Linked DNA regions of Macaca fascicularis. The protein of the gene in region 4 interacts with the protein of the main gene of each other region in a pairwise test. Links are inferred from orthologs where the notes say so. Each region holds a gene or a part of one and is shown on either strand. Other genes may lie near its edges. The genes, in order: MYRIP, ODAD1, NUP62 and C1H1orf216.

Evidence for each region.
Region 1: the proteins of C1H1orf216 (region 4) and MYRIP interact in binary tests that used the Homo sapiens proteins (3 or more experiments, as listed by UniProt). The two-hybrid records come from large-scale screens. The link is inferred for Macaca fascicularis from reciprocal best matches to the Homo sapiens genes C1orf216 and MYRIP.
Region 2: the proteins of C1H1orf216 (region 4) and ODAD1 interact in binary tests that used the Homo sapiens proteins (3 or more experiments, as listed by UniProt). The two-hybrid records come from large-scale screens. The link is inferred for Macaca fascicularis from reciprocal best matches to the Homo sapiens genes C1orf216 and ODAD1.
Region 3: the proteins of C1H1orf216 (region 4) and NUP62 interact in binary tests that used the Homo sapiens proteins (3 or more experiments, as listed by UniProt). The two-hybrid records come from large-scale screens. The link is inferred for Macaca fascicularis from reciprocal best matches to the Homo sapiens genes C1orf216 and NUP62.

What each region holds. Positions count from the first base shown.
Region 1 is NC_088376.1:103,014,191-103,021,528, reverse strand, and holds part of MYRIP (rab effector MyRIP), read right to left. Parts: intron 6,101-7,338; coding exon 6,020-6,100; intron 1,971-6,019; coding exon 1,873-1,970; intron 1,658-1,872; coding exon 1,577-1,657; intron 1-1,576. UniProt on the Homo sapiens protein: Rab effector protein involved in melanosome transport. Serves as link between melanosome-bound RAB27A and the motor proteins MYO5A and MYO7A. May link RAB27A-containing vesicles to actin filaments. Functions as a protein kinase A-anchoring protein (AKAP).
Region 2 is NC_088393.1:56,296,162-56,303,499, forward strand, and holds part of ODAD1 (outer dynein arm-docking complex subunit 1), read right to left. Parts: intron 5,238-7,338; coding exon 5,115-5,237; intron 4,788-5,114; coding exon 4,674-4,787; intron 3,127-4,673; exon of another isoform or gene 3,001-3,126; intron 1-3,000. UniProt on the Homo sapiens protein: Component of the outer dynein arm-docking complex (ODA-DC) that mediates outer dynein arms (ODA) binding onto the doublet microtubule. Involved in mediating assembly of both ODAs and their axonemal docking complex onto ciliary microtubules.
Region 3 is NC_088393.1:57,888,722-57,895,614, forward strand, and holds the end of NUP62 (nuclear pore glycoprotein p62), read right to left. Parts: intron 5,061-6,893; 5' UTR 4,984-5,060; coding exon 3,418-4,983; 3' UTR 2,066-3,417; downstream 1-2,065. UniProt on the Homo sapiens protein: Essential component of the nuclear pore complex. The N-terminal is probably involved in nucleocytoplasmic transport.
Region 4 is NC_088375.1:199,231,151-199,239,163, forward strand, and holds the start of C1H1orf216 (UPF0500 protein C1orf216 homolog), read left to right. Parts: upstream 1-3,900; 5' UTR 3,901-4,078; intron 4,079-6,062; 5' UTR 6,063-6,237; intron 6,238-6,411; 5' UTR 6,412-6,416; coding exon 6,417-7,106; 3' UTR 7,107-7,108; exon of another isoform or gene 7,109-8,013.

The DNA.
Region 1 (7,338 bases), on a different chromosome or scaffold from region 4:
TGGCTTTGGACTCGATGTGTGACTTGCTCTGGCCAATGAGATGAGAGGAGGGAGTCAGTAACTGTAAGCCAGAGCTAAGCCTCGGCCTTAATAAGCACTGTGTGCTTCCTCTTGCTGGCTTGTGCTCCTGTCATGGCCACAGGCAGCTGATGTGCCCTCAGTTGGGACCCAGAGTGAACATGCTGCAGCCGACTTTGTCCCAACCCACAGCTGGAAGTGCAGCCACTGCAGATGTGTGAGCAAGAAGTAAATTGTGGCATAACAAAACATATATACAGATAGTCCTTGACTTAGGATTTTTGGACTTTACGATGGTGGGAAAGCGCTGTGTATTCAGGACGGCATTCCATAAATTATATGAGCTATTAAACACTATTATAAAATAGGCTTTGAGTTAGATGATTCTGACCTGTTATAGGCTAATGCAAGTTCTGAGTACATCTACGATAGGCTAGGCTAAGCTAGGATATATTAAGAGTATGTTAGGTGTATTGAATGCATTTTGACTTCTGATACCTTCAACTTAGGATGGGGTTACTATCTGGACTTAACCCCATCCACTGTAAGTTCAGGGGCGTCTGTATTTGGTCTTTGTCCCCATTTCCTGGCACAGTTTCAAAAAACATTTGCAATGATTCGAGTGTTAGGAGTGTCTTTGTTATACTAACAAGGTGATTCAAGGTGAGGTCCCTAGATAACTTCAGGATGGCGGCAGGTTGCCAGAAAAGCCAACTACAGTGCATGATTAGAGGGCTCGGAGCAGAAAGACTAGAGAGTGCGTTCAATCAGGTAATCAATCATTTAATCAATCATGCCTACATACTGAAACCTGGCTAAAAACTCTGATGCAACAAGGCACAGAAACCTTCCTAGTTGGTACATACATCGATGTGTTGGTGGAGTGATGTTCACAGAGAGGGCATGGGAGCTCTGTACATCCTGTCCCCAGACCCTGCTGCTCTCTGTATCTCTTCATCTGGCCGTTCACCTGTACCCTTTATTTTAAACTGGTAATGGTAAGTAAAGCAGTTTTCTGAGTTCTGTGAGTTCTAGCAAATCATTGAATTGAGGGTCCAGGGTCGTGGAAACTCCCAAATTTGTAGCAGGGTAAGGAGAAGTGTGGTGGCTTGGGGATACCTGAAACTTGTGGCTGGTGTCTGAAGTAGTGGCAGTCTTGTGGGACTGGGCCCTTAAATGTGGGGTCTGCACTAACTGCAGGAAGAAGTTAGTATCTGAATGGAATTTCAGTTCTCAGTTGGTGCTGGAGAATTGGTTGTGGAAGACAGAAAGATCCTTGTCAGAAGCCACAGAGTTTTGGGGTGGTTGGTTTCTCAGAAGTAATTGACAGGTACACTGTGCAAGGGACAGCATAGGGCACGGAGCTAGCAGGAGTGACTGCAGAGCAGTGCAATACATTCCCTCTACATGGGTCCGCAGGGCACAAAAGGCTAAAGTGAGAAGGCACAGAAGATACAGTACCAGAGACACTCCTCATGTTTCATCTGCTACTTGCCAGAGTCCCTACTCCGGGCCCAGCCAGGAAACTGCAGCCATCCCACTGCCAGGGCCCACCTACCTTCTGCAAGATTGTCGTGGCCAGTTCCTCGGTTAGCTCCTCCTTGTGGTCCCGCAGGTAACTGGCTTCGTTTTGCTTGTCCTGCGGAGGGAAGAGAATGGCTGTGTGCTGTGGGTGGACTTGGGTTGACTCGGCAATCACTTTGCAAGGAGAATCCTGACCACAAAAGCAGAGGGAGGGCCCTGCTCTAGTCAGAGCTGCTGAGACACTGATTTCCTGACAATCTGCACTTTCTCCTGGCAGCCAGGACCCCAACCCACACCTCCCCCCACAGAGAGGAGCAGGAGGGGTCCTACCAGGCTGTCCCCATATGCTTCTGCTTTGGAAATTGCTTCCTCAATGGCCTCTTCAGCCACCCGTAGGGCCACAGCCAAGGTGTCCATCACACTATGTCCTAGACAGGAAACAGTACAAAGAGCATTTCTAAAAGGGAATGATGAGTAAAATGACCGTTCAAGCTCTTCTGCTTAAATTCTTCAAGGGCTCTGGGATAAGTTCTCAGCTGCTTACCATAGCGCACAAAGCCCTCGCCCTTTCCACCTGCCTCACAACTGCCTCCCATGCATCATTCACATCCCGAGCCCCATATGCAACAAATTATTTGATTATTTCATGCCTGCTGTCTCATTCCTCCTCCCTCCTAGTCTCGTGCTCCATAACTGAGCTGGTTCCCATGGACCCCAAGGCTTGGCCCAAAAATTCCTCCTCTAACAAATCTTCCCAAATCCCTTCAGCCTCACCCTTTGCTTGAGGTCTGTCCCAGGTTCTGGGCTTGCTTTCATCATCCAGAAAGGCTCCATGCCCCGGCCCCTTCCCACAGGTCACTTTCAGAGAACGAGAATTGATCACATTCATTGTTGTATGAATATGATCATACAAAAATGAAGCACTGGTCCAAGCACACAGAGTGGCTTAAAGATGACTGAACAAAAGGGCTTAATATAAGGAAATAATGGTTCTTCATCCACTTTCTCAGATAAAGATTATGCTTTATTTTGTCCATATAATGTATTATTGTGATGATGGGGAAAATGTTATTAAATGTACTAAGGACATTGGGCTGTGCATATGACTTAGTGCAGATATAAACTCTATGGTTTAATTTTTTAGACTATCAACCAGTATTAACAACATTGGCCATAGCCACATGGCAGGCCCCAGGCCCAGAGTTTCACATACATGATCACAGTTAATTCTGTCAAAAATCCAGTGGTAAGTAGGTGCCATATAGGTACAATTTTACAGATGGTAAATTTCAAGCACAGAGTGGTTAAATAACTCACCCAAGGTACACAGCAAGACAAGAAGGCTAAGATTTGAATCCAGTTGGATTCCAATTCCTTTGAATTTGAATTTGGATTCCATTCCAAATTCCTTCCAATTCAAAGCCCTTGATTTTAATCACAAAACTGACACGAATACAAGCTAACATGATTTAAAAATATCGTGCTACCATATTTTTAGTGGACATTTTTTTTTTTAAGACATGGCAACAAATGAGAGAAAATAAAGGACTTCCCCAAGTGAAGAGTTCTTTTTGGAGCTAAGTGCTGGGAAAAGTTCTGTTTCCCTTGAGATCCTAGATTTTAGCTTCTTACTTGTGAGAATTTCTATCATCCTTCTCTTAGTTTTCCCTAGAAGTCCAAGTCACATCACATGCAGGAATGTAGGTCAGCAAGGGCTGGGTACCTGGGTCTCCTTTTCCCCAATTTCAAACTCCTGTTTCCATTTATCGTCTCCTACTCATATATTATTTAACACATGCAAATCTCCTGTAAGCTGTTGAAAATTCTTTGTGGAATGAAACAGGGTGTGAATACATCAATTCATTAACTACTCAATTAAAAAATAATTCAAGCTTCTTAGACTCTTAAGGACACAGATGTAGACAGAAAGTATCATTTGGCAAACATAATAAAGTCTCTAAACAATCCACTTAAGGTCAAAGTGATCTAGCTAGCTGATGAGTATGTCACAAGCCAGCTATGACAGTCATGATAGAGCCACATAGGGGCAGCTCGGCCCAGGGCTCTGCACACCACCAGGTAGCACAGTCTTTCCAATGTTTTGATAACTAGAGCCTACATGATATAAATTGTCATCACACACACTAAGAGCTCCCTGGTGGTAGACACTGTATCTCCCCTCTCTCTTCTTCAAGATAGTCACCAACGTATTTTTCACAGAAAATAGTACAAATTTTTGTTGAATCAAACAAATGTTTACTGAGTACCGTTTGTGTGCTAGGCTCTGTGATGGCCCCAGTGACAACCTGATGGACAAGCTGAGTCCATGCTTTCATGTACCTTCCAAGATATTGGGTGATTAGACATATAAGTAACCACTAAGAGACATGCATAACTATCCGTGTAGACTCCTGGAAGGTAGGCACCTGGAGCTGTAACTAGGAAGGCTTTGGATGCTATGATTATAATTCTTAGATGAAAGTGATGTGGAACTCTGGGTAAAAAGTGAAGGTTCAGGTCAGTGTTTCAGAGAGAAAGGTTGGCAAGGGTTGGGGGTAAGATTAAGAAGGTAAAGTGGCCAAAGTTCAGAAGACCAGCTAGATGGTGGGATGGTCAATGTGTCAATGTGGCTAGGCTATAGTACCCAGTTATTTAATCAAACACTAGTCCAGGTGTTACCGTGAAGGTATTCTTTAGATGTCGTTAACATCTACAATCAGTTGACTTCATGTAAGAGTTGTCCTCCACAATGTGGGTGTGTCTTATTCAATCCTTTGAAAGGCCTTAAGAGCAAAAACTGAAGTTTCCTAGAGGAGAAATTCAGCTTGAAGCCTGAAGCAGCAACTCCTGTCTGAGTTTTCAACCTGCTGGCCTACCCTGTATGTTTGGGGCTTGCCAGTCCCCTGCAACTGCATGAGCCAATTCCTTAAAAGGAATCTGTGTGTGTGTGTGTGTGTGTGTGTGCATGTACATACATATATATTTAGTGTATTGGAGAACCCTGCTGATACAGATGGCCACTGAAATTAACACTAATACCAGAGAGTTTCGGGCAGAGAGGTATGAAGGATAGGGGTTTAGAATGGAGAGAAAAGGGTAAGATTGAAAACAGGGCTGACAAGTACTTTTGTAGCTTGGGGGAAATGAGGAGAGGGACTGAAGGAAACATATCTCTCACTGGTGGACCTAAGTGGCTAAAGAGCTTGACTAGGACAAGTTGGGGTTAAGAACCCTATAGGATCTTCAGGTGCTAATGGCCAAGCATTAGAAATCTGAGCCTAGAACTCTGGGATGAAATCAAGGTTGGGCATTTCTGGCTCAGCAGCAAATGGAGGTGCACTTGAGGTCGTACAATGGTGTGTGGTAACCTATGGAGGAGCTGCAGGTAATAAGGATAACAGTGGACAGAATTTTCATGAGAAGGCACCTGTATTAGGGTTCTTCAGAGAAACAGAACCAATGGGATATATATAGATATAAAATAGGAGATCTATGATGGGAATTGGCTCATGTGATGAAGGAGGCTGAGAAGTTCCATGATATGCTGTGTGCAAGCTGGAGACCCATAAGAGCAGTGGTATAATTCAGTCCAAATGTGAAGGGCTGTGGAATGGGGGAGCTGCTGGTTTAAGTCCTGAGTTAGAAGGCCCAAGAATCAGAAGCTCTGATGTCTGAGGGCAGGTGAAGATGGATGTCCCAGCTTCAGAAGAGGGACAGTAAATTCACCTTTCCTCTGCATTTCAGTTCTATCTGGGCTTTCAATGGATTGGATGACACCTACTCATACTGATGAGGGTAGATCTTCTTTTCTCAGTCTATGATTCAAATGCTATTCTCTTCCAGAAATACCTTCACAGACAAACCTAGAAATAAAGTTTTACCAGCTATCTGGGCATCCCTTAGCCCAGTTAATTTTGACACACAAAATTAACCATCACAGCCCCCAAAGAGAGAATAGAGGGTACAGATGAGCTGTGGGGGTCACAGGAGGAAGGCAATTCAGGGGGCACTGATTATCAATGTCCATTACTTCAGACAAAGAATTGAAGTGATAAAGTTTTATTTGAAATTAGAAGTTTGTTTTGCTTTTAACCACTGCTCTAAGGGGGCAATTATATTGGTATAAAAAAGTAGAATTTAATCAGTAAATGATACCTTCTTTAAGGGAATATTTTAATAAGAGATGCACAAGTGAGTGGGTTGATTGATATGTTCCAACTCCAGAAGAATATTTACTAGTTGACTGTAAAGTATCCATGGTTGGGAATGAATGCTGTTCCCTTGGCCACACTTTGGATGGCCATATGATGGATTCATGCAATTGGCAATAATAAGTGACCCAGGGAGACTCACACGTAGTAGTAGATAGTTGCATCTGGGGTAACAATGCACCTGGCGGGCCCTGGCAGTACCTGTACCTGTAGGTGTTTCTATTCCTCCAACTTCCCAGTAGCTGTAAACTCTTAAGCAAATTTACCTTCTGACTGCCTATAAAATGTTGAATCACTGCCAGAAATGCTTCCTTCATTCTCCAGGTTTGACTCAAAAAGGCTTCCTCCTGGCAGGGTAGGAGTGGGAGAAGAGAATGAATATGATTATCAAAGGTCTTCAGTGAACACTGATGCCCTGTGTCACTGAACTGGCAGACTGCTATTACACACTTGGGTTGTTAGCCTTGCAAATAGGTTTAGGGACTCATGAGTTCCCACAATAATGCTAACATTTTTGACCCATTGCTTTTTTCTTCTCACACTGATTTCTGGTGCAGCATTGCTACCAACCCCAACTTTCTTCCCATACCTTCTTTGCAGGCAATATGGAGTCAAAGACAGAACAATAGACTAAAGTCTGAGAAATGTGAGGTCAATTCCTGGACCTGCAAATTACTGGTTGTGTGGCTTGGCATGGCTGCATCTAGAATTTATTTATTCATCCAGCAAATAGTCTATGAGCATCAGTAGGTGCCTGGCTTCAGCCTAGGTATTAGGGGCACACTGATGAGCAAAGTTAAACCTGCCCCCACCCCACCCTGACAAGCATGAGATTCTCATGTGGGAAATTCATTAATCAAATGCTTATAAAAATACATATGAAATTATAGATAGGTTAAGTGCTTTGATGGGACGGTTCACAGCCCACTGAAAGTGTTCAGCAGGGAAGACGGACCTAAGCAGTGAAGAATCAGCCGAAGGGTGTAGGGAGTGGGAGAACATACAAGGCACAGCAAACAGCTTGCACAGAGACTGGTCCTGGGAGGAAAGGGTGTATCTGAAGGCCTAAATGAGAGTCAGCGTGTCAGGGCTGCAGAGAGAAAAAGCAGCTCTGGTGAGGTGACCTGGGGACACAGGCCATGCAGGTCATGGTGGCCACATCAGTGTTTGGATCTTTATCTCAACCACTATGTGCAGCCCTTAAAGGTTTCACAGAGACGACCTGGTAAGATCTGTGCCTCTAAAAGTGCACTGCGGCTGCTGTGTGGAGAATAGCTTGGAAGCGGGAGAAGGTGAGTGTAGACTGAGGAAGGGCAGACAATGGAAGCTCTGAATGCAGCTCACTTTTTTAAGTTGACCTGTGATGGGAAAGAGGATGGCAGGACAACGAGTGGAGGAAAATGCAGTCAAGGAGGGGTTTAGAAAACAGGAGAGACTTGGGTGTGTTTATAAATCCCGGTAAAGACAGAGATTGAATGAGCAAGAAGTGAACTTTAGACTTTCCTGGAAGGTGAGAGGGATATCAAGACGCAAGACCAAGGGGGAGCAGGAGGCAACAGAGAAGGCAGACAGCACTCCCACTGCA
Region 2 (7,338 bases), on a different chromosome or scaffold from region 4:
AGAGAGCCAGAAAGATGAAATGAAGAGGCCAGGCGCAGTGGCTCACGCGTGTAATCCCAGCACTTTGGGAGGCCGAGGCAGGCGGATCACCTGAGGTTGGGAGTTTGAGACCAGCCTCAACAACATGGAGAAACCCCGTCTCTACTAAAAATCCAAAAACTTAGCCAGGCATGGTGGCGCATGCCTGTAATCCCAGCTACTCGGGAGGCTGAGGCGGGAGAATCGCTTGAACTCAGTAGGCGGAGGTTACAGTGAGCCAAGATCGCGCCATTGCACTCTAGCCTGGGCAACAAGGGCAAGACTCCGTCTCAAAAAAGAAAGATGAAATGAGGAATGCTCAGGAAAAACCTGGTGGTACCGGAATGGAATCAGAGGAATCAACGTGAACTCACTATTGTAAAATATGTCAGCCAGGCGCAGTGGCTCATGCCTGTAATCCCAACACTTTGTGAGGCCAAGGCAGGGGAATCACTTGAGCCCAAGAGATTGAGAGCAGCCTGGACAACACAGTGAGACCCCATCTCTACAAAAACTAAATAGAATTTTAAAACATATAAAATATGTGTGCTTCCTAGCTCTCTCCAGAGAAAGGGCCTCAAAGCAATGACACCCAAGTAGCGACGAACTCTCTTAGTGCCTCCACACCTACTCTTCCCCAGAAAGAATCGGACTCCTCAGAACAACGGCCGACCCCAGGGATGGGGCAGAACAAGGTCCAGATTACCTCGGCTATCTTCCCGTGCCAGAGAGTGAGGAAGTACTCCCCAAAAGTGAGGGGGTGTGTCCAAAGGCCACAGGAGCCAGCGTGAAGGGGCCCCCCCAACCAAATCTGGGGCAATTTGAACACTAAAACGAATGGCAGTTACAGATTGTCATCTATGAAGTCACAATACATTCATGCTCACTGACAAGGAGAAAGAGAAGTTTTTCCTTTTTTTTTTTTTTTTTTTAATGAGACGGAGTTTCACTCTTATTGCCCAAGCTGGAGTGCAATGGCGCAATCTTGGCTCGCTGCACCCTCCGGCTCCCTGGTTCAAGTGATCTCCTGCCTCAGCCTCCCAAGTAGCTGGGATTACAGGTGCACGCCACCACGCCCAGCTACTTTTTTGTATTTTTAGTAGAAATGGGGTTTCACCATGTTAGCCAGACTGGTCTCAAACTCCTGACTTCAGGTGATCTGCCTGCCTCAGCCTCCCAAAGTGCTGGAATTACAGGCATGAGCCACCGCCCCCGGCTGAGAAATGTTTCCTTAAGGAAAATGCCATCTTATAAATGTGGGAGAAATGATAGAGTTTTTTTAAATCACCCTTTTGCAGCCATTACAGTAATAACCGTTCAGGGAAGAATCATTCATGGATGCTAAAATTGATGGCAGTAGCTGCTGGCTGGGGCTGCACACTCCATGCAGCCGGTGGGAGCCCTGCCCCTTCTGAGTTGGGGTGGGAGCTCCCCGGATGCAGCTGTAGCCATCTGAACCACAGTTGCAGACCCAGGCCTTCTGCTCCACGGAGCAGGCAGCAGCCGGGCACAAGCGAGGGTCCTGCCCCTTCCGAGTTGGCAGGGTGGGAGCTCCCGGAGCGCCGCTGCGGCCACCCTCCCAACCACAGGACCTAGGCATCTCTGAAGTTCTCTGCAGCCTGCACCCTCAGAAGCCCAGGAAAGCACCCCCCGATCCCTGCAGGCTCAGAGGTGTCTGCTCCTGCTGCTCGGCCTCTCTCCTCTCTTGCACCCACTCTGATCTCAGAGAGGGGTTGGGGTCCAGCCCAGTGCCATGAATGGCAGCAGGAGGCAGACACATTCCTGGGCAGAAGAGGGCAGGTCCCCGGTAAGGTCCCTCCTTTAGGCCAGGGAGGGCCTGACGTCTGGGGGCCAGGTTACCAGTACTGCAGAACGAGTGGGGACTTGCAGCGTCTCCTCCAGGCCTGCCCATGGCCACCCATGGAGCTACCCTCTCTGCTGAGAGCTTCACAGGCCTGCAGACATCTGAACAACCTGCCTGCGGAGAGGAGCCACCCTCTCCAGGGCCTCCTCACGGCTGATAGCTGAACACTAGACGAGACCACCTGCCTACAGAGGAACTGCCCCCTGCAGGTCTCCTCTGAGCTGTCTTTTTTTTTTTTTTTTTTGAGACGGAGTCTCGCTGTGTCTCCCAGGCTGGAGTGCAGTGGCGTGATCTCAGCTCACTGCAAGCTCCGCCTCCCGGGTTCACGCTATTCTCCCGCCTCAGCCTCCCAAGTAGCTGAGACTACAGGCGCCCGCCACCACGCCCGGCTAGTTTTTTGTATTTTTAGTAGAGACGGGGTTTCACCATGTTAGCCAGGATAGTCTCGATCTCCTGACCTCGTGATCCACCCGCCTCGGCCTCCCAAAGTGCTGGGATTACAGGCTTGAGCCACCGCGCCCGGCCTCCTCTGAGCTGTCTTAACACTCGATAAAGCTCCTCTTCATCTTGCTCCTCTCCACTTGTCTGCCTACCTCCTTCTTCCTGGACACAGGACAAGAACTCGGGCAAAGGCACCACTGGCCAAGGAGGTTTCCAGCCAGAAAAGTGACGCCCGAAAGATCCCGTAAAAAAATGATTGAGTGAAGGTGTGTCAGGGGACAAGATATTTACGCAGTCTCAGAGAATCTCCCCACGGACCACATATTCACTACGAAAAGGAAAACTCTCCATTGCAAAAACCTGGCTAGCCAAGTGACCAAAGACAACACCACTAGTCATGGGACAAGCTGACATCAGGTGCCTCCTGAGATCCTGCACAGGAAGGACACACTATCACTGCTGTGACATTCCCCCCAAAGTGCAGACACCAAGTCTAATAATGAAGAAAGATCAGAGAAACCGGCCGGGCGCGGTGGCTCACGCCTGTAATCCCGGAACTCTGGGAGGCTGAGGCGGGCTTATCACCTGAGGTCAGGAGTTCGAGACCAGCCTGACCAACATGGAGAAACCCTGTCTCTACTAAAAATACAAAATTAGCCAGGCGTGGTGGCAGGTACCTGTAATCCCAGCTACTCAGAAGGCTGAGGCAGGAGAATCACTTGAACCCGGGAGGTGGAGGTTGTAGTGAGCCGAGATCGCACCATTGCACTCCAGCCTGGGCGACAAGAGTAAAACTTCGTCTCAAAAAAAAAAAAAAAAAAAAAAGACCAGATAAACCCGTGTCAGGGGACATTGCACAACACAACCAGCCTGGATGCTTCCAAAATGTCAACGTCATGGAGAAAAAAAAGCCCAAGGGACTGACCCAGATGAACAGAGCCAGAACAACCAAATGCAACGTGGCATTCTGGACCAGAGCCTAGAGCAGGAAAATCAAGTTCACTGTAAAGGACATCATTGGGACAATCAGTGCCTTGAAATATGGACTATTTAGAATTCTAACAATGCTAATGTCCCTGACTTGGATAACAGCACTAAGTAAATGGCGTTGTTCTTAGGAAATGCTCACTAAAGTACTTAGGAGCATAATGTCGACAACATATTGTCAAACAGTTCAGCAATCAGGATAATAAATTATTTTCAGCAAAACAATAATTACACACACAAATAGTAAGAGTTGGGGAGAAAGAGAATAAATGTGGCAAATTATCAAACTTGGTGAAAGATATATAGGAGTTATTTGTACAATTCTCGCACCTTTTCTATAACTTGAAATTATTTCAAAATGAAAGTCAAGACCAGACGCAGTGGCTCATGCTTCTAATCCCAGCACTTTGGGAGGCTGAGGCAGGCGAACTGCCTGAGCTCCAGAGCTCAAGACCAGCCTGGGCAACATGGTGAAACCCTGTCCATACCAAAAAAAAAAAAAATCGGCCAGGTGCAGTGGCTCACACCTGTAATCCCAGCATTTTGGGAGGCCAAGGCGGGCAGATCATGAGGTCAGGAGATCGAGACCATCCTGGCTAATACGGTGAAACCCTGTCTCTACTAAAAATACAAAAAATTAGCCAGGCGCGGTGGCAGTCACCTGTAGTCCCAGCTACTCAGGAGGCTGAGGCAGGAGAATGGCGTGAACCCGGGAGGCGGAGCTTGCAGTGAGCCAAGATCGCACCACTGCACTCCAGCCTGCGCAACAGAGTGAGACTCCGTCTCAAAAAAAAAAAAAAAGAAAAATCGTTTTAATTAGCTAGGCGTGGTGGTGCACGCCTGTAGTCCCAGGTCCTCAGGAGGCTGGTGCACGAGAATTGCTTGAATCTGGGAGGCACAGGCTGCAGTGAGCCCAGATCACCTCACTGTGCTCCAGTCTGGGTGACAGAGTAAGACTCCAACAAAACAAAAGAAAAGAGAAGAGAAGAGAAAGAGAAAGAGAGAGAGAAAGAAAGAAAGACAGAAAGAAAGAAAGTCAAAAGAGACGGGACAGGGCTGGTTCTTCAAAAGATCCCCGTGGAATGTATAATAAATGGTCTTGCAATAGTCAGGCAATAGATTGCCCTGGGTAATACTATTCAGAATGACACTCTGCTTTCTACAACTATAAATGAGGCCACTTTTTGTTGGAAGTGTCCTCCAACATTTCCCAGGCCTCCATGCCTTCTGGACTAAAGCAAGCCTACAGCTGTAGTCAATTCCATACTTGAGGCCTGAGTGCTAGAGCAGGAAGGGCAAACAGCTGTGGGGAGGACCTGGGCAGGGGTCCCTCTCTCCTCCCCTGGATTTCAGGGCCACTGACCTTCTTCAGCTTGCGGTCCATGTTCAGATAGCGGTTCCTGTCGATCCGCAGCAGATCCAGCTCCTCCCGCAGGGCCGCGTTCCGCACCAGCTGGTTGTCAAAGTGACAGATGACCTGGGAGTAGAAAGGCGGATGGAAGAGTGGGTCTGAGGCCAGGCCCGCCTGTCTCCTCCAAGCTCAGCCAAGGAGGAGATGCTTATCAGAGGTGGGGCCGGCCTGTTTCCTGAGAAACATCGGTTCTTTGGGGTTCCTGAAATCAATGTCCACTCCCCTCTAAGGACCCATCAGTCTCCTTTCCTTGGAAACCTCCATCCCTCCAGAATCCTGTGTCCTGACACACATGTGCACACACTGTCCACCATTTCCAGAACCCAACGACCATGCCCCGTTCTTCCCATAACCCCGCAATTCAGGTCGAGGGACCAGGAGGCTGACCCTCACCCTGTCCAACTGGTCTTCTAGGATCCTGATCCTTCGCCCGATCTTGACCTTCTGATCCAGGACGAATCCCGAGGACCTGACATTCTTACTGTGGGTAAAGATCCGTGTCTCCCACTCCTGGATCTAGAAGAAAGAGGACGGTACCCGTTTATGGTTGCCTGAATGTGGGAGAGATTGAATGGCCGAGGGAAAATGAGTCACTAAGCATGGCAGACATCTGCTGTCCCTGTAGCCCCAGAATAACATCTACCCTTCTGCTGACACTATCCAGCCCTCCATGTGGTTCTGGTGGGCCTTCCACCCAGTGTGTCACCCTGTCAGCCACATGACCCAGGTCTGGACACTCACAGGGACTGGCCTAGAGATGGGAACGCGACCCCATAGAGCCAGCCTGACTCGTTTCTTTTTTTTTTTTAATGAGACAGAGTCTTGCTCTGTCGCCCAGGCTGGAGTGTGCAGTGGCGTGATCTTGGCTCACTGCAACCTCCACCTCCCAGGCTCAAGCAATTCTCGTGCCTCAACCTCCCGAATAGCTGGGATTACAGGCACGTACACCACACCCAGCTAATTTTTGTATTTTTAGTAGAGATGGGGTTTCGCCATGTTGGCTGGGCTGGTCTCGAACTCCTGACCTCAAGTGATCCACCCGCCTTGGCCTCCCAAAGTGCTGGGATTACAGGCAAGAGTCACGGCGCCCAGCTCTGACTCGTTTCCTGATAGTCTGGGGGAAGCACATGAGATGGAAGGGTGGGATTCCAGGACTTCTGCTGTCATAGCCCCACCACAGGGAGGATCCTGGGAGGATGAGGCCAGTGGACAGAAGTGGAGATGAGAGTTGGAGAGATGGTGAGAACGAACCCAATGACATTAGTATCCCTGGGTCTGCTTATGCCTAAAACCAGCTTCCAATCTGTCCTCATTTCTGTATTCATCGGTACTTATTGGGGTGTGCTGTGTGTCTCCAAGCAAACTGGGGGTTCCATGAGGACAGAGAGTCTTGTGTTTTCTCCGTGTCTGAGACAAAGAAGGTATTCAACATAACATGCAGACTAAACAGACAAATGAATTGCTTAACACTTCAATTTGTACTCTGTTATGGGTTTAATCATGTCCCGTAAAAACTCATATGTTGGCCAGGCACAGTGGCTCATGCCTGTAATCCCAGCACTTTGGAAGGCCGAGGTGAGTGGATCACCTGAGGTAAGGAGTTCGAGACTAGTCTGGCCAACATGGTGAAACCTCGTCTCTACTAAAAATACAAAACTTAACTGGGCGTAATGGCACGTGCCTGTAATCCCAGCTACTCGGGTGGCTGAGGCACGACAATCACTTGAGCCTGGCCTGGGAGGTGGAGACTGCAAAGAGCCAAGATTGCACCACTGCACTCCAGCTTGGGTGACTGGGCAAGACTCCACCTCGAAAAAGAAAAGAAAAAGAAATACCCAAAATGTTGACACTGGGGGAAAATGCAACAAAGTGTACAAGGGATAACTCTGCATTTTTTCAACTGCACATGAATCCCAAAAAATTTTCTTCCTTTTTTTTCTTTTTTTTTTTTTAGAGACAGGGTCTCACTCTGTCACCCAGGCTGAGTACAGTGGTACCATCAAAGCTCACTGCAGCCTCCACCTCCCAGGCCAGACTCAAGCAATCCTCCTGTCTCAATAATTGCTTTATTAAAGAATAGATGACATACAGTAAAACTGCACATATTTAGTGTACAATTTGGGCTGGGCACGGTGGCTCACACCTGTAATCCCAGCACTTTGGGAGGCCGAGGTGGGCAGATCACCTGAGGTCAGGAGTTCAATACCAGCCTGGCCAACATGGCAAAACCCTGTCTCTACTAAAAATATGAAATCAGCCAGGCACGGTGGCGGGCACCTGTAGTCCCAACTACCCGGGAGGCTGAGGCAGAAGAATTGCTTGAACCTGGGAGGTGGAGATTGCAGTGAGCTGAGATTGCGCCACTGCACTCCAGCCTGGGTGACAGAACGAGACTCTATCTCTAAATAAATAAATAAATAAACAAACAAACTGTATAATTTGATATGTTTTGACATAAAATAGTGAAAATATCCATCACCCCTAAAAGTTTCCTCGTGCCCTTTTGTAGTTCCTCACCTCATTCTCTTCCTGCAGTCAAGTCTCCCCCCAGCAATCACTCATCTGTTTTCCGTCACTATAGATTGGTTTGCATTTTCCAGAATTTTTTTTTTTTTTT
Region 3 (6,893 bases), on a different chromosome or scaffold from region 4:
TTTTGACACGGAGTCTTGCTCTGTCGCCCAGGCTGGAGTGCGGTGGCACCATCTCTGCTCACTGCAAGCTCCGCCTCCCGGGTTCACGCCCTTCTCCTGCCTCAGTCTCTCTGAGTAGCTGGGACTACAGGCGCCCGCCACCACACCCAGCTAATTTTTTTATATTTTTAGTAGAGATATTCACTGTGTTAGCCAAGATGGTCTCAGTCTCCTGATCTTGTGATCCACCCACTTCAGCCTCCCACAGTGCTGGGATTACAGGCGTGAGCCACCATGCCCGGACCCTAGTTTTTGTATTTTTAGAAGAGATGGGGTTTCACCATGTTGGCTAGGCTGGTCTGAAACTCCTGACCTCAGGTGATCTGCCTGCCTCGGCCTCCCAAAGCTGGAATCTGTTCTTATTTTAAAAATGTAACTGTAAGAAAGCAATTAAGCATTGCTAAGCTTTAATATGCAAAATAGGAAATAGTATGCAAAATAATAGGAAAATATACATATAGACTTTGGAAATATATGCTCAAATTTTTCTCGTCATGATTGTGTGGACCCTGCCAACGACCTCTTTGTGGGCATTTTTTGGTACCTCCAGCACCACATCAGGACCAGCTCTGAAAATAGATGCTGAAGGCACAAATGTAGGTAAAATGCAAACTGCTTCCTGCCTCCTAAGGGGACTCAAGCCCTCCCTTCCGGCAGAGGGGGCAGCATGAGTCAAGGCCTATGAACTGCACAGAGGTCCCTGCTGTAGGTGACAGCTTTCAGAGAGAAGTAGCTGGGGTTGTGGGGTCTTCCTCTGGTTTACCATGCCCACCACACACACCCATGGCTTCTACTTAGACACAACTCCTGTCCTTCAGAGCCCAAGATGGCCCAAGGAAATTTTATTCATTTGGGACATAGTTTCGCTTTATCTAGGCTGGAGTGCAATGGCATGATCTCGGCTTACTGTAACCTCCACCTCCTGGGTTCAAGCGGTTCTCCTGCCTCAGCCTCCCGAGTAGTTGGGATTACAGGCGCCCACCACCTAATTAGCCACCAGCTAATGTTTGTATTTTTAGTAGAGATGGGGTTTCTCCATGTTGGTCAGGCTGGTCTCGAACCCCCGACCTCAGGTGTTCTGCCAGCCTTGGCCTCCCAAAGTGCTAGGATTACAGGTGTAAGCCACCGCGCCCAGCCGGTCCAAGGAAATAATGACTCATGATGATGACTTCGGGAGACTTTTGGAACCTGGGCCATAAATCTTCCAAGCGTGGCCCACAGATTGACATGAACAGGTTGAGGGAGGCCGAAGGGGTACACTCCCCACAGCCCAGAAGATCTGAGTGCTTAGGACCATTCCAGTCCACAGGGCGAGGCTGCAGGGCAGAGGAAGAGCATGGGGCCTGTGTCTTTAGCCCCAGGTGCCAGGAAGGAATGCTGCCCATGCCGTCTGTAGCCACTGGACTAGCGCCTTAGGGATGGGGCTAGATGACTTAACGTGTGTTTTTTGAGACAGTGTCTTGCTCTGTCGCCCAGGCTGGAGTGCAGTGGCAGATCACGGCTCACTGCAGCCTCTAATACCTGGGCTTAAATGATCCTCCCACCTCAGCCTCCCAGGCAGCTGAGACACAGGTGCGTGCCAGCATGCACAACCAACTTTTTTGTAGTTGGTAGAGATGGGTTTCACCATGTTGCCCAGGCTGGTCTTGAATCCCTGACCTCAAGTGTTCACCTATCTCGGCCTCCCAAAGTACTGGGATTACAGGTGTGAGCCACCTCGCCCAGCCATATTTGTGTATATTCTATGACATAACAGTCACAAACACCAAGGGCCCACTCCCCGTGGTGGCTTCACTCGCGTGTTCCTCTTCTACCACCAGGCACCACCCCTTCCCGGAGCAAACCACAATTTGCATTTTCTATTACTCCGTCTCATCAAACAAAAGCTGCTTCATCACATGCTCCTGTGTCTATGCAAGCACTGCTTGCCCCTGCGTTTCACGTGAATGACACCCCTGCAGAGTCTCCTGAAAGCTGCTCTTTTTACTCAAGTTTCTCCTCCTAACATTTATCCATATTAGCAGCCTTTTTGGTTTCACAATACATTTATTTAGAAAAGCAACATACAGTAATAGGTATTTCAGAGAATGCAGCAAAGGATAAAGACAAATACAAAAGACACTTGGGATACAACTGCTGGCTTCTGCCTTCCACACACAGTGGATTTTACTGTAACTGACTAGAGTCACTCTGGTGCCAGGAAGTTCAGAGCCATGTCCGTGGCCACCACTGGCAGCTGTGGCTATTTCTGTGGACTGTTGTTATGCCGGGCTTCATTGTTCTTTCATTTAATAAATGTCCCAGTCACATTTGTTGGACTGGGCTGGGGACATACAGGGGAACAACAGTGGGTCTCTGCCCGTGGGAGCTCACAATCTAACCGCGAGACGGACGCAAACGGCTAGCACAGGACAGCATAGCAAGTGTTACCCAAGGTACAGGCTCAGGGTGCTACGGGGACCTGCAAGAAGGCCACCTGAGCTTTGGGTAGCTGGGAAGGCTTCCTGGAGGAGGTGAGGCCCAGAGGTGGGGGTAAGCCTGGGCCAGGCAAAAGGCAGGCCTCTGTGTGTAGGCCCCTCAGCTGACCTGTCTTCTGTGCAATTCTCGATCCCACTGTTTGTTCTATTCACACTGTGCTGCTTTGTCTTGGTGGTTAGCTTTCACAGGCACACACCTCCTACTCCAAAACTTAGGCTGCTGTCTCCTGGGACGCTTTTTTTTTTTTTTTTTGAGACAGTCTCTGTTGCCAGGCTGGAGTGCAGTGGTGTGATCCTGGCTCACTGCAACACCTCCCAGGTTCAAGTGATTCTCCTGCCTCAGCCTCCCGAGTAGCTGAGATCACAGGCACCCACCACACCTGGCTAATTTTTGTATTTTTAGTAGACACGGGTTTCACCATGTTGGTCAGGCTGGTCTTGAACTCCTGACCTCAAGTGATCGGCCTGCCTCAGCCACCCAAATTGCTGAGATTACAGGCGTGAGCCACTGCGCCCTGCAGGCTTTGGAGGTTCTCTTACATTTGGTATTTTTTCATGACACCTATGACTACGCTTTGGAGAGAGCAGCTGTCCCCGCGACCCTGGCTGGGACCAAGACCACCACTGCGTCTCCATCACCAGGTCGAGCCAGGATGAGGTGGGCGGTCGCAGTGGCTGGAAAGGGGCCAAAGACACTCAAATAAAAGCCACAGAAGCCACACCCATGAGGCTGCTGCCTGGGCAGAGGGCTCAGAATACTTCCTACATGGAAAAAGGCAAAGCACACAGCAATTGTCTCAAAGGCAGTCACGTGAAAGAAAGAAACATGTATCTTGCCACAACCCCAAACTAGACAACAGGGCGCGTTCCCCGCATGGAACTCCCAGGGCCCTGCTGTCGCTCAGTCGAAGGTGATGCGGAAGCTGCGCTCCTGCTCCTTGCGCCGGCCCTCGCACACCTTGGTCACCTCCTCCACCTTCCTCTGCAGCAGGGCCGAGTTCTGGTCGATCCACTGCAGCGAGCCCATGTGCGCGTTGAGGATCTTGCAGATCTGCTGCAGCGGGTCGCTGGTGTCGGCGGGGGCCCCGGACGTATTCAGGTGCTCGATGATGTCCTTGAGGTCCTGAGCCATGCGCTTGAGCTGCGCGTCGATGTTCTCGGCCAGCTTGTAGGTTTTCTCGCGCTCCTCATCCGCGTGCTGCAGGTAGATGGTTCCGCTCTGCTCCTTTACCAACTCCTCCAGCGGGCTCAGCAGGTCTTCCAGCTCCTTCTGCTGGGACAGGATGAAGTCGAGCTCCTGGTCCAGCCTCTTCTGGTCCAGCTTCACCTTCTCCACCTCGCGGTGCAGGCTGGTGATCTTCTCCCCGTTCTCGATCAGCGTGCGGTCCCAGGCGTTGACCTGGGTGGCCTGCTGGAGGAAGTGCCGCTCCTGGTCCTCTAGCTCCAGGCTCCATTTGTTGATCAGGCTCTCCAGCTGCGCGTAGGTCATGGCGGAGCTGGCGGCCGCCCCTGCAGCTGCACCAGGGCCAGGTGGAGCAGTCACAGCGGCTGCCGTATTGCTGGGGATCCCAGCTGGCGCCAGTGGTTTTAAATTCAAGGCAAAGCCGGTGGTGCTGCTGCTGCTGCTGGTGGCCGCGGCGGTGGCAGTGGTGGATGTTGCTGTGGAGGCGCCCGAAGCTGCTCCAGGTGCCTTTAAGCTGAAGCCCTGTGTCCCGGCAGCGGGGGCTCCCGCGGTGGTCGCAGGGGTACAGAGGGAGAGTCCGGTGGTGGCAGACGAGGTTGGAGCGGTTGCTATTGATGCAAAGAGGGTGGGCCCAGTACCGGTGGTGGTGGCTGTGGCTGTGGGAGCAGCTGGCTGCGTGACGCCTGCTGTGGTGGCTGCTGGCGTGGCCGGAGTAAAGGGCAGAGTGGCAGGTGCGGTGGGCTGGGCTGAATTCCCCGCTGAGCCAATGTTGAAACCGGAGGGCTGGGCCATGCTTCCACCAGTGAATGAGAAGCCTCCAGATGTGGTGGCTGGAGCCACAGAGGTGGTGGAGGGGCCAAACACAAAGCCAGTGGGTGCTGTGCCCTGGCTGGAGGTGACAGTGCTCGATATGGCATTAGTGAGGTTGCTGCTGCCCAGCCCAAAGCCACTGGGGTTTGCCATGGCTGGGGTGGCAGCTGTGTTGCTCAAGTTGAGCTTTGAAGCACCGATCCCTAAAGAAAATCCAGTTCCCCCCGAGGCAAGAGTTGCTGTTCCAAAAGTGAAGCCTGTTGTCTGTGTGGCCGGAGTCTGAGTGGCGAGTGAGAACAGGCCGGTGGAAGGGGTACTTGTGGTTGGTTGGGAGGGAGCCCCAAAATTAAACCCTCCAGTGCCAGAGGTGGAGAAAGAAAACCCTGTGGCAGGTGTGGTTGTCGCTGTCTTTGCAGTGCCAAATGTGAACCCACCTGTAGGGGCCCCAGTGCCTCCAAAATTAAACCCGCTCATGGCTCCGGACTCTGGTGGCGGCAGCTACTCTGGCTCCCAAAGCAAATCCGCTGGCGTCTGCGACCTCGGGAATATTTCTAAAGCAAAGGAAGTGACACTGTCAGATGGCAGTTTTGGAAAGGCAAGCCCAGTGGCATGACTGGGCACGGCTGGTTTGGAGGGTGGTGGGATGGGATTATGATACCATGCAGCAACCCCCCTTCGTCCTGTGTAACCTAAACCAGACTCTGCTACATCGAGAAGGATCCAGAAGCACAAATGCACGCTCCAGGGGTCAGGTACGAGGAGTCGGGGTGCTAGGGACGTGCATGGCCACATTCAGCACAGTGGAAAGTTCCCACTCTGGAGGATGAGGCGGGAGAACAGGACCTTGGACCCACTTCAGCCCGAGGAGATCAGATTTGAGGCACTGCCACAAGCGGGACTAGGACACAGAAGAACAGCTGTAGGACCTGCTCCCAGCGTGGGACCCAGTAAGGTTCCCTGGCTGACTCTAGCGGGGTGTGAGCGGATCAGCTCTTGCCACCCTGAGGGCCTCTCTGGACGTGAGAGAGAGAGATGGGGCAGGGAACCCAGGCTGGATGGCAGGATACGGGCTGCTGAAGGTCCCCCAGGCCCACACCTGTACTCTCTAAGAGCAGGAGAGGACGTGCCCCTCCTAACTCAGGGGAGGGTCTGAAACCCATGTGCTCAGAGCACAGATGCCCCTGGCCACAGTGACTGGCTCGAGGATAAACTGAGACCCGAGCCAGGCAATCAGAGCCTCCCCTGGGATTTTCTCCATGCTCAGAAGGCAGCTGCCTCCTTCGCCTCTAAGTGTGGTGCAGGGGATTGCACCTGGGCCACCCTTGGACACCTTCTCAACCACCTGCAGACACTGGGACATCACCGGAGACCATGAGCCCCACCAGAGATGGATGGGGTGGGGAACAGATAAAGAGCCCCCGAGAAGCCCCATGGGCCAAACATTTCCCTTCAGTCCAAACTGACTTGATGTTGGTAACGTCTAACCGAAAAATCTCCAAGTGGTGCCATCTATCAGCGGGATGGTGAGGAAAGGGTGAGAGGAAGTGCTGGATAGGGGTGTTTTTTTTCTTTTGGGAAAGGGTTTTGCTCTGTCATACCAGCTGGAATGCAGTGACATATCACAACTCACTGCAGCCTCAAGCTCCGGGGCCCAAGCGATCCTTCCACCTCAGCCTCCCAAAGTAGCTGGGACTACAGGTACATGCCACCATGCCCGGCTAATCTTTTTTATTTTTTGTAGGAACGGGATTTCACTCTGTTGCCCTGGTCTTGAACTCCTGGGCTCAAGCGATCCTCCCTCTTTGTCCTCCCAAAGTGCTAGGACTATAGGTGAGAGCCCTCCAGATGATCAGAAGCATCCTTAGAAGATCGGTTTGACTGACTGGAGAGGGAAGAAAGCTTGTGGTGGCAAGAGCAGACTGGAGTGATGCGCTTTGGAACCTGAAGACGGGAGAAAGCCAGGAGCCAGGGAAGGCAGAAGCAGCTCTAAAAGCCGGAAATGGAAAGAGGGAGGCCCTGTCTAAAAAACAAACAAACAAACAGAACGAACAAAGTCATGACTGAGAAGCCAAGTGCCTGGCCCAGAGAAACACCCACGACGTCTGTTTCCTCTTCCCTCTCTCCAGGCCAGTTTTTAAATTGCTTGGTGTCTGTCCTCAGGAAATCCCCTTCTAGCTTGAGGAAGAGGAAACCTACCTCACTACCCCCACCCCTTCCACTGCACCCTTCTGCCTTCCACAGGCCCCTAATTTTTGTTTCATCTGCTCCTCCTCCTCCACACAGCCAAGCAAGTCTGGGGAGATGACCCCAGGGCCAGCTGCATGCGCTCTGCCTTGTCCCAGCCAGCAGATCTCAATGGGCGCCCATCAGCACTGACTGGAGCA
Region 4 (8,013 bases):
ATGATTTGATTTGCCTAAGTTCCCAAAGCCATGTGGGGAAGTTGACAGATGATGTGACCTCAGGAAGAGAGAAGAAAGCAAGTTAGCAACGTAGTTTGTCATCCAGGATTTTGCTTTGTTCTGATATGGAACTCTGAGGGCTTCCTCAGTTATTTCCCTGCTGCCCGCAGGATAGAGCCCAAGCTCCCTGGATGGTGGTCAAGAACTTTCACAACTGGGCCAACTTTATCTTCCAGCCTCACCTTACCTCCACTTCCCACCGAGCTCCAGCCACACTGGCCTACGGGGTGTTTCCTGAACTCACTCTGAAAATGCAGTCTCCTGTGCCTTCTCTTGCTTTCTCTTAGTGAGCTCTTATTCATCCCTCAAGGCCTGGCTCAAATATCACCCCTGTGCTAGCTGGGTGTAGTGGCTCATGCCTGTAATCCCAGAATGTTGGGAGGCCAAGGTGGGAGGATCACTTAAGGTCAGGAGTTCGAGATCAGCCTGGGTAACATAGCAAGACTCCCATCTCTTTAAAAAAAAAAAAAAAAAAGTCACCTCTGTGAAGCCTTTCCTTACCCTATTTTGGGCTTACTACTTTTGCCTCCTGGCTCTGTTGCAGGGCCCATTACATTGTTACAGCCCATTCTTCTGTCTATTCCTTTTTTTTTTTTTTTTTTTTTTTTGAGATAGGGTCTGGCTCTGTCTCCCAGGCTGGAGTGCAGTGGCACGATCTTGGCTCACTGCAACCTCCACCTCCCAGGTTCAAGCAATTCTCCTGCTTCAGCCTCCTGAATAGCTGGGATTACAGATGCGCACCACCATGCCTGGCTAATTTTTGTATTTTTCGTAGAAACGGGGTTTCATCATGTTGGCCAGGCTGGTCTCGAATTCCCAGCCTCAAGTGATCTGCCCGCCTCGGCCTCCCAAAGTGCTGGGATTACAGGTGTGAGCCTCCACACCAGGCCCAATATAGGCTTTAAATCAATGTATATAATGTTTTGTACTTTGCAGCCAGAATGCATAGGAAGAAGAGGTAGAGGTGGTTGTGGCACCTTATATGATTGTACCAAAGGACTAAGAGTTTTGTTCCTGTCTCTGAGATTCTGGGTATTGCAGGTCAGAAGGTGATAGCATCAGCCGGGCATGGTGGTTCACGCCTGTAATCCCAGCACTTTGGGAGGTCGAGGCGGGCGGATCATTTGAGGTCAGGAGTTCGAGATCAGCCTGACCAACATGGTGAAACCCTGTCTGTGCTAAAAATACAAAAATTAGCTGGGTGTGATGGCACGTGCCTGTAATCCCAGCTACTCGGGAGGCTGAGGTAGGAGAATGGCTTGAACCTGGGAGGTGGAAGTTGCAGTGAGCTGAGATCACGCCACTGCACTCCAGCCTGGGTGACAGAGTGAAACTGTCTTGGGAAAAAAAAAAAAAAAAAAAAAAAAGATGGTGATAGCGTCGTGGGAGGAACGTTTCTAACCAAGAAACACAAAGATGATTCTCTTGGATTTCAGGCTCCTGGTAGTACTAGAGGAATAGAAGGGGGTGGTCACAGTGTAGACTGGACTGATAATGGCTCTCAAGGAGAAAGGGAGTTACTGCTACCTAATAAGGGTTGAGAGGTGGGTGAGTGGAACCCAGAGACCCTGGGGTCACCACCTTGTGCTATTGTATTAATCAGCATTCTTTTGATTGTCGGTGAAAGAATTCCACTCAAGTTAGGCTTGGCAAAATAAGGCACACAAAACTATAAATTTAGATTCAGGAAACAGGGTCTGCAACATTATCAGAACTTCTGTCTCTCATCTCTGTTTCTTCCCTGCCTCATCTTCCTTTAATTTCATTTCAGAAGATCCCAGACTCCGACTGGCTCACCTGGAGTGGAGTTCCTATCCCTTGATTCTTCAGGCTTTCATTTGACCCACATGGTTAAGCTGGGAGAGACAGAGTCCAAACAGAGGCAGAGAAAGGCTATTCTGGGCAGAACAAACAATTGATGACTTTATGGCTCTGTGGTCTGGGGAGAACTGCATAACCCTAGATCACCAAAGCTGAGAGCCTTTAAGAGTGAGGATTTGGGCCGGGCATAGTGGCTCACGCCTGTAATCCCAGCACTTTGGGAGGCTGAGGTGGGTGGATCACAAGGTCAGGAGATCAAGACCAATCTGACCAACATGGTGAAACCCCATCTCTACTAAAAATACAAAAATTAGCTGACGTGCTGATGCATACACCTGTAATCCCAGCTACTCGGGAGGCTGAGGCAAGAGAATCGCTTGAACCTGAGAGGCATACGTTGCGGTGAACCGAGATTGCACCACTGCACTCCAGCCTAGGCGACAGAGCGAGACTACATCTCAAAAAAACAAAAAAAACAACCAACAGTAAGGATTTGGATTTGGTCACCCCAGGCTGAAGGCCAGGGGAACCTGAAGTGGATAAGGGAAGGGAGAGAACTTAGGCCACAGGATCTGATGTAGAAATGAGGCTGACATCTCCACCTGTATTTTCTTAGCTGGAGGAGTGTGCAAAGTTTGAATTACTTCTGCCTTCTTCTTATTTCCTTTTCCCTCTTAAAATAGTCATCATAATCATAAAAATTTATTTTCCATTTTCCCTGTTTTTGCATATAGGATTTCTTGGTGTGATTCAATTTGCCAATTAGTATCTAGGTTGCAGAATGGTGACTTGCAATCAAGTTGAAACTGGAAGAGGGTACCTTATATATTAGGGTCAGCAATTACTAAACTCTGTTCTCTTTTATTCCAAACAGGGTCCCCAACTTCACATTTCCCCAGGGTGCAAAAGAGGGGGATCAAGCTTCAGTAGAGTGGAGCTCTGAGAAGAATTCACTAGAGTTTGGAAGCCAGGACCCTTTTTATAACCTTGTTCCTCCTCACCTGGGCAAAAGCACTAGTGCCCACTGCACAGGTGTCATGGACGGGCTCTGTGTCCTGTGGAGAGCCCCCATCCCAGGTACAGGACATCAGCCCTGGGACCTGTCCCAGGCTGGATCTTCTTCTTTCTCTCTCTCTTTTTTTTTTTGAGACAGAGTCCCACTCTGTTGCCCAGGCTGGAGTGTAGTGGTACAGTCTTGGCTCACTGCAACCTCCACCTCCCAGGTTCAAGCGATTCTCCTGCCTCAGCCTCCCGAGTACCTGGGATTACAGGCGCCCGCCACCACGCCCAGCTAATTTTCGTATTTTAGTAGAGACGGTGTTTCACCATGTTGGCCAGGCTGGTCTCGAACTCCTGACCTCAGGTGATCCGCCGGCCTCGGCCTTCCAAAGTGCTGGGATTACAGGCGTGAGCCACCGCGCCCGGTCTCAGTGACTTTAGTCAAGTAGCACAAAAAGAAATATATAATTCCAAATTGTGATAAATGCTATGAAGAAAAGGAACGTGCCCTGACATACAAGGGGGAACGAATGCGATCTAGGGAGTCAGAGATTTCTCCGAGGAGAGAGCTGAAATAGGAGTAAATCGAGAGGGGGAAGAGACTGCTAGACCGAGGGAACCGTGCGTGCCAAAGCCGCGTGGCAGAAAGGGGCGTGCGGGAGGGTAGCTGCGGAGAGGGAGGGTAGAGGACAAAGCCGGAGAGGCAGACGGAGGGCCGGACGCGCAGAGCCCCGCGGCTGCTGCCTTAGGGGTTGTCCCGGCTGTGGGGAAGTCATAGAGGAGTTTAAAGCCGGAAGGTGGTGACTAATCAGATTTCACTTGAAAATGGCACGGTGTCTGCAGTGAGGTGAACTGATGGGAAGGGCCCAGCGAACGCCAATAGGAGAGAGCACCGGACCTGAAAGGCCTGGTTCAACGCGGCCCCGCGCGGGGGCGAGGCGGTTCCGGCGCAGAGCCTAGCGCGCGGCTCCGCGGAAAACCCAACCGGCCCACGTGGGCCGGGCCGCTCCGCCCCGCCGCGCAGACGCCGCCTGACTCCGCAGTCCGGACCTGGGGCTGGGCGCGCTGCCCGGGAGCCCCGCACCCACCCTTGGACCGCGGAGACGCCCAGGCCGAGGAACCCCCAGCCCAGGGACTAGACACCACCAGGGCCGGGCGGAGCCATAGCCAGACGCGCCGGATCGGGCGCCTCTAGGCCGTGAGTCGGAGGCGGGGGGCTTGGGGCCCAGCCGCGGGAAGCGGGGAGTCACAGCGGCCTCCGAGGAGACTAGGGAAGGATTGGTCTCTGCCTCCTGGGGTGGTCTCCCACTCCCGCAAGGCCAGGAAAGGAGGCTGCCTCCTATTTGGGCGGAGACCTAGTCCTGGGGTGTCGGGGTTCCTATTTTACTATTTCTGAGAACCCTGTGATCCCTAGCGCCACCCCTACCCCATCCCAGCTTCCTTCATGGCCCCATCCAAGTATAGGAAAAATTAAAAATTGGGGCGAGGGGAGATCTGTAGGCACCTTCCCACAAGCCTTGCTTAGAGGGCGATTACAAAGGAACTGTTCCTACACCCTTCTCCCCAGGACTTCTGCCCGTTGCTGGGGGTGGGGAGGGTCCATGCCACCTATGGTGCGCCTCCCAGTGCCGGCTCCACTTACAATATCCTTCCTCTTCATGCTCTTAAATTGTTCTAATCCCAGTGCTGTTTGGTCAGTAGAATTCCTTTGTCAATTCAAATCCTAATTTTGGTTAGAAGCAGGTTATGGAGGAGAGAAGAGTGGTGTGGTATGCCCGCCCTCCAGGGCCTCAGGATGGAGCAAGCTAGGGACAGGGACACAAGATAGTGGCCGTGTTCCAGAGGCATTGGGAGGGAAGTGGGCAGGCTCAGAAGAAAAGCTTGTCACTGGGGAAGGCTGGGCTCCCTGGCTGGGGTAGGAGAGGGAACTGAACCCAGCTCTTCCAGCCCGGGGGAGTCGGGAGTAGCTTCCTGAGCATGGAAATTCACTGCAGTCTCTTCTCCCATTCACTCGCTTAGCAAGTACCAGTATGCACAGACAGCCTGGTTCCGGGCTCTATGCTGGCTGACTCTGGGGAATATGATGGAGGATATATAGGGGAGGTCCAAGCTAGATTACAAACTGCTATTACAAGATCATTGCCACAAACCAAAACTGCCAGTTAAATAGACATTCACTGATCGTCGACCATGTATGCCAGGGACAGACACAAAGTTGGATAAGACAGTGTGTACCCAGGGCAGTGGAGACCCAGAGGAAGGCATAACTAACCGTGCTTGTTTATGTAATATTGATTGCGGCAGTATCAAGACAGCTTCAGAGACATGGGTACATGGAGATATGGGGATATTACAGCTGATTTTGAAGTACAAAAAGGAATTTGCTGGGTGGAGAAGGGAGGAGCTTTGAGGGGAGGGGAGAGGAAGGATATTATAGGCCAAAGGAATACTGTAAGAAGGACAATGGTGTGTTTTGAGATCTCTGGGCAGTTTGCTATGATGGGAGGGACAGAGTGGCAAAAGGCAGGTGTGGAAGGGTGAGCAGAGGCTAGATCAAACAGGGCCTTGTAGGCCACATAGAGGTTTAGCAGGAGTTCAGGGAGGGCATTCTGAGTGGTGACAAGTGAAATTTACATTTGTAACTGGGGGCAGAGAGACCAGTGAAAAGGCCGAGGCAATAATCCAGGTCAGAAATGGCCTGGAAGAGGAAGAATGGTCAGAATGTGGTTATCAATGAGATGGGAGAAGGAAGGAGAGTGAGGAGCCCAGGATGCTCCTAGCCTTCTGGATGGAGGGTGGAGCCATCTTGCTGAGGATACTGAAGGAGAGCTTGTTTGGTTATATAGAATTTTGGTGGTGGGGGCGGGGGGTGGAGAGGGATGAAGTCTCACTCTGTCACCCAGGCTGGAGTGTGGTGGCACAATCTCAGTTCACTACAACCTCTGCCTCCTGGGTTCAAGCGCTTCCCAAATAGCTGGGATTACAGGTGCCTGTCACCACGCCTGGCTAATTTTTGTATTTTTAGTAGAGATGGGGTTTCACCATGTTGGCCAGTCTAGTCTCGAACTTCTGACCTCAGGTGATCTGCCTGCCTCGGCCTCCCAAAGTGCTGTGATTACAGGCATGAGCCACCGCACCCAGACTGGTTATGTAGAATTTGAGGAGCCTATGATTGGTTGCAGGGTTGGATAGCAGTTAGATCTGGGCTGAAGACAGATCTGAGAGTCATCAGCATATGATGGACCTTGAAGCTACAGCAGAGAATGAGGTCCTCTGGAGAGAAATGTGCAAAATCAGAAGACAGCCTGGCTCTGAGGACTGAGGAAAAACCCTCTGCAGGAGACTGAGAATGAACAGGTAGACAGGGAGGACGAAAACCGTGAGGGGAAGTGTCACCAGAGTCAAGAGAAAGGGCTTGACAGGGAGTGGTCGGGCTCTTGCTTTCAGCCTTGTCCCTGCAGCTAAGTTGCCCTGACTTCAGGCACCCCACCCTGTCCTACTGTGACTCAGTCTCCTGCTTTCCCTTTACAGACCAGATGTTCGCCATCCAGCCAGGGCTAGCTGAGGGGGGCCAATTCCTGGGGGACCCACCTCCTGGAGTATGTCAGCCCGAGCTCCAACCAGACAACAACTCCAACTTCATGGCAAGTGCCAAGGATGCTAATGAGAATTGGCATGGGATGCCAGGCAGAGTGGAACCTATCCTGAGGAGGAGCTCCTCTGAGTCGCCCTCTGACAACCAGGCCTTCCAGGCCCCTGGATCCCCTGAGGAAGGGGTGCGCAGCCCCCCAGAGGGGGCAGAGATTCCCGGGGCTGAGCCTGAGAAGATGGGTGGTCCTGGCACAGTCTGCTCCCCTCTGGAGGACAATGGCTATGCCAGCAGTTCCTTGAGTATCAACAGCCCTAGCAGCAGTCCTGAGCCTGCCTGTGGGACCCCGCGAGGCCTTGGCCCTCCCGATCCCCTTCTGCCCTCAGTGGCCCAGGCTGTGCAGCACTTACAAGCCCAGGAGCGCTACAAAGAGCAGGAGAAAGAAAAGCACCACGTGCACTTGGTGATGTACCGTCGCCTGGCACTGCTCCAGTGGATCCGGGGCCTGCAGCATCAGTTGATTGACCAGCAGGCCCGACTACAGGAGAGCTTCGACACCATCCTAGACAACCGGAAGGAGCTCATTCGCTGTCTCCAGCAGAGGGCAGCACCATCCAGGCCCCAGGACCAGGGCTAAGGGTGTGTCTCCACAAGTGTGCAAGGGTGTATGTGTATATTTGCAGGCATGTGTGAGGTTGTGCACTAGTAAGTACATAATTATTTGCTGGCATGATTGCAGGTAGGCATGAGTGTGTATGTGCTAACATGTAGGCTGGTGTGTATAGGAATGTGTGAATAAACATGTATAAATGAGCTTAAGTGTGCTGTGTGCACATGTGCACACACAAGCTAATTTATCTGCAGACCTATATGTGAGCATGTAAGAGTGAACATGTATGTGTGTAGTATGTAAGAAGAATGAGGAAATCTGTATGTGCGTGTGTAGACAGGTACCCAGCAGTGTGTGTATATGCACATGAGTGAGGATGTATATGCAGAAGATGTGTGTGTCTATGAGTGAGTTTGAGTGTGCAGGCTTGTGTTGGATGTATGTGAGGGAGCCCTTGTGTGTGCAGGGGTGCACGTGTGTGGCTGCAGGCATGGGAGGTGTATGTTAGGAGCATGTGTGTTTGCAGGCAGACTCATGAGCAGGTGTGTGCAAATACATATCCAGCTGCACTGTGGGGTATCCACCCACACCTTGTGTTCCTCATGGCCTACCGCAGCCTTTCTTCTCCACTGGGTCCCACTGTTCCCTGGAGACAGAGGGCTAGCATGCTATCATTTATCTGAGGGTTGTGGCTGACCCATTCTCCTGGGGTTTCCCAGGCCACCTCTTCTTTCCCTTTCCCTCACTTAGCCCAGACTTGCTCAGCTGAGGCTATCGTCCCTGATGTTGGCTTTGCTTGTAGGAGGTTTAGTGGCTGCTCTGGCCTGCTATGGCATTTTGGCTGCAATTTTGTCTGGCAGTGGGTGGAGAACTGGTATCAGGAAGGGGAACCGGGAGTAGTGATGGAGATGATGGTGGGGGTGGGGACAGAGAA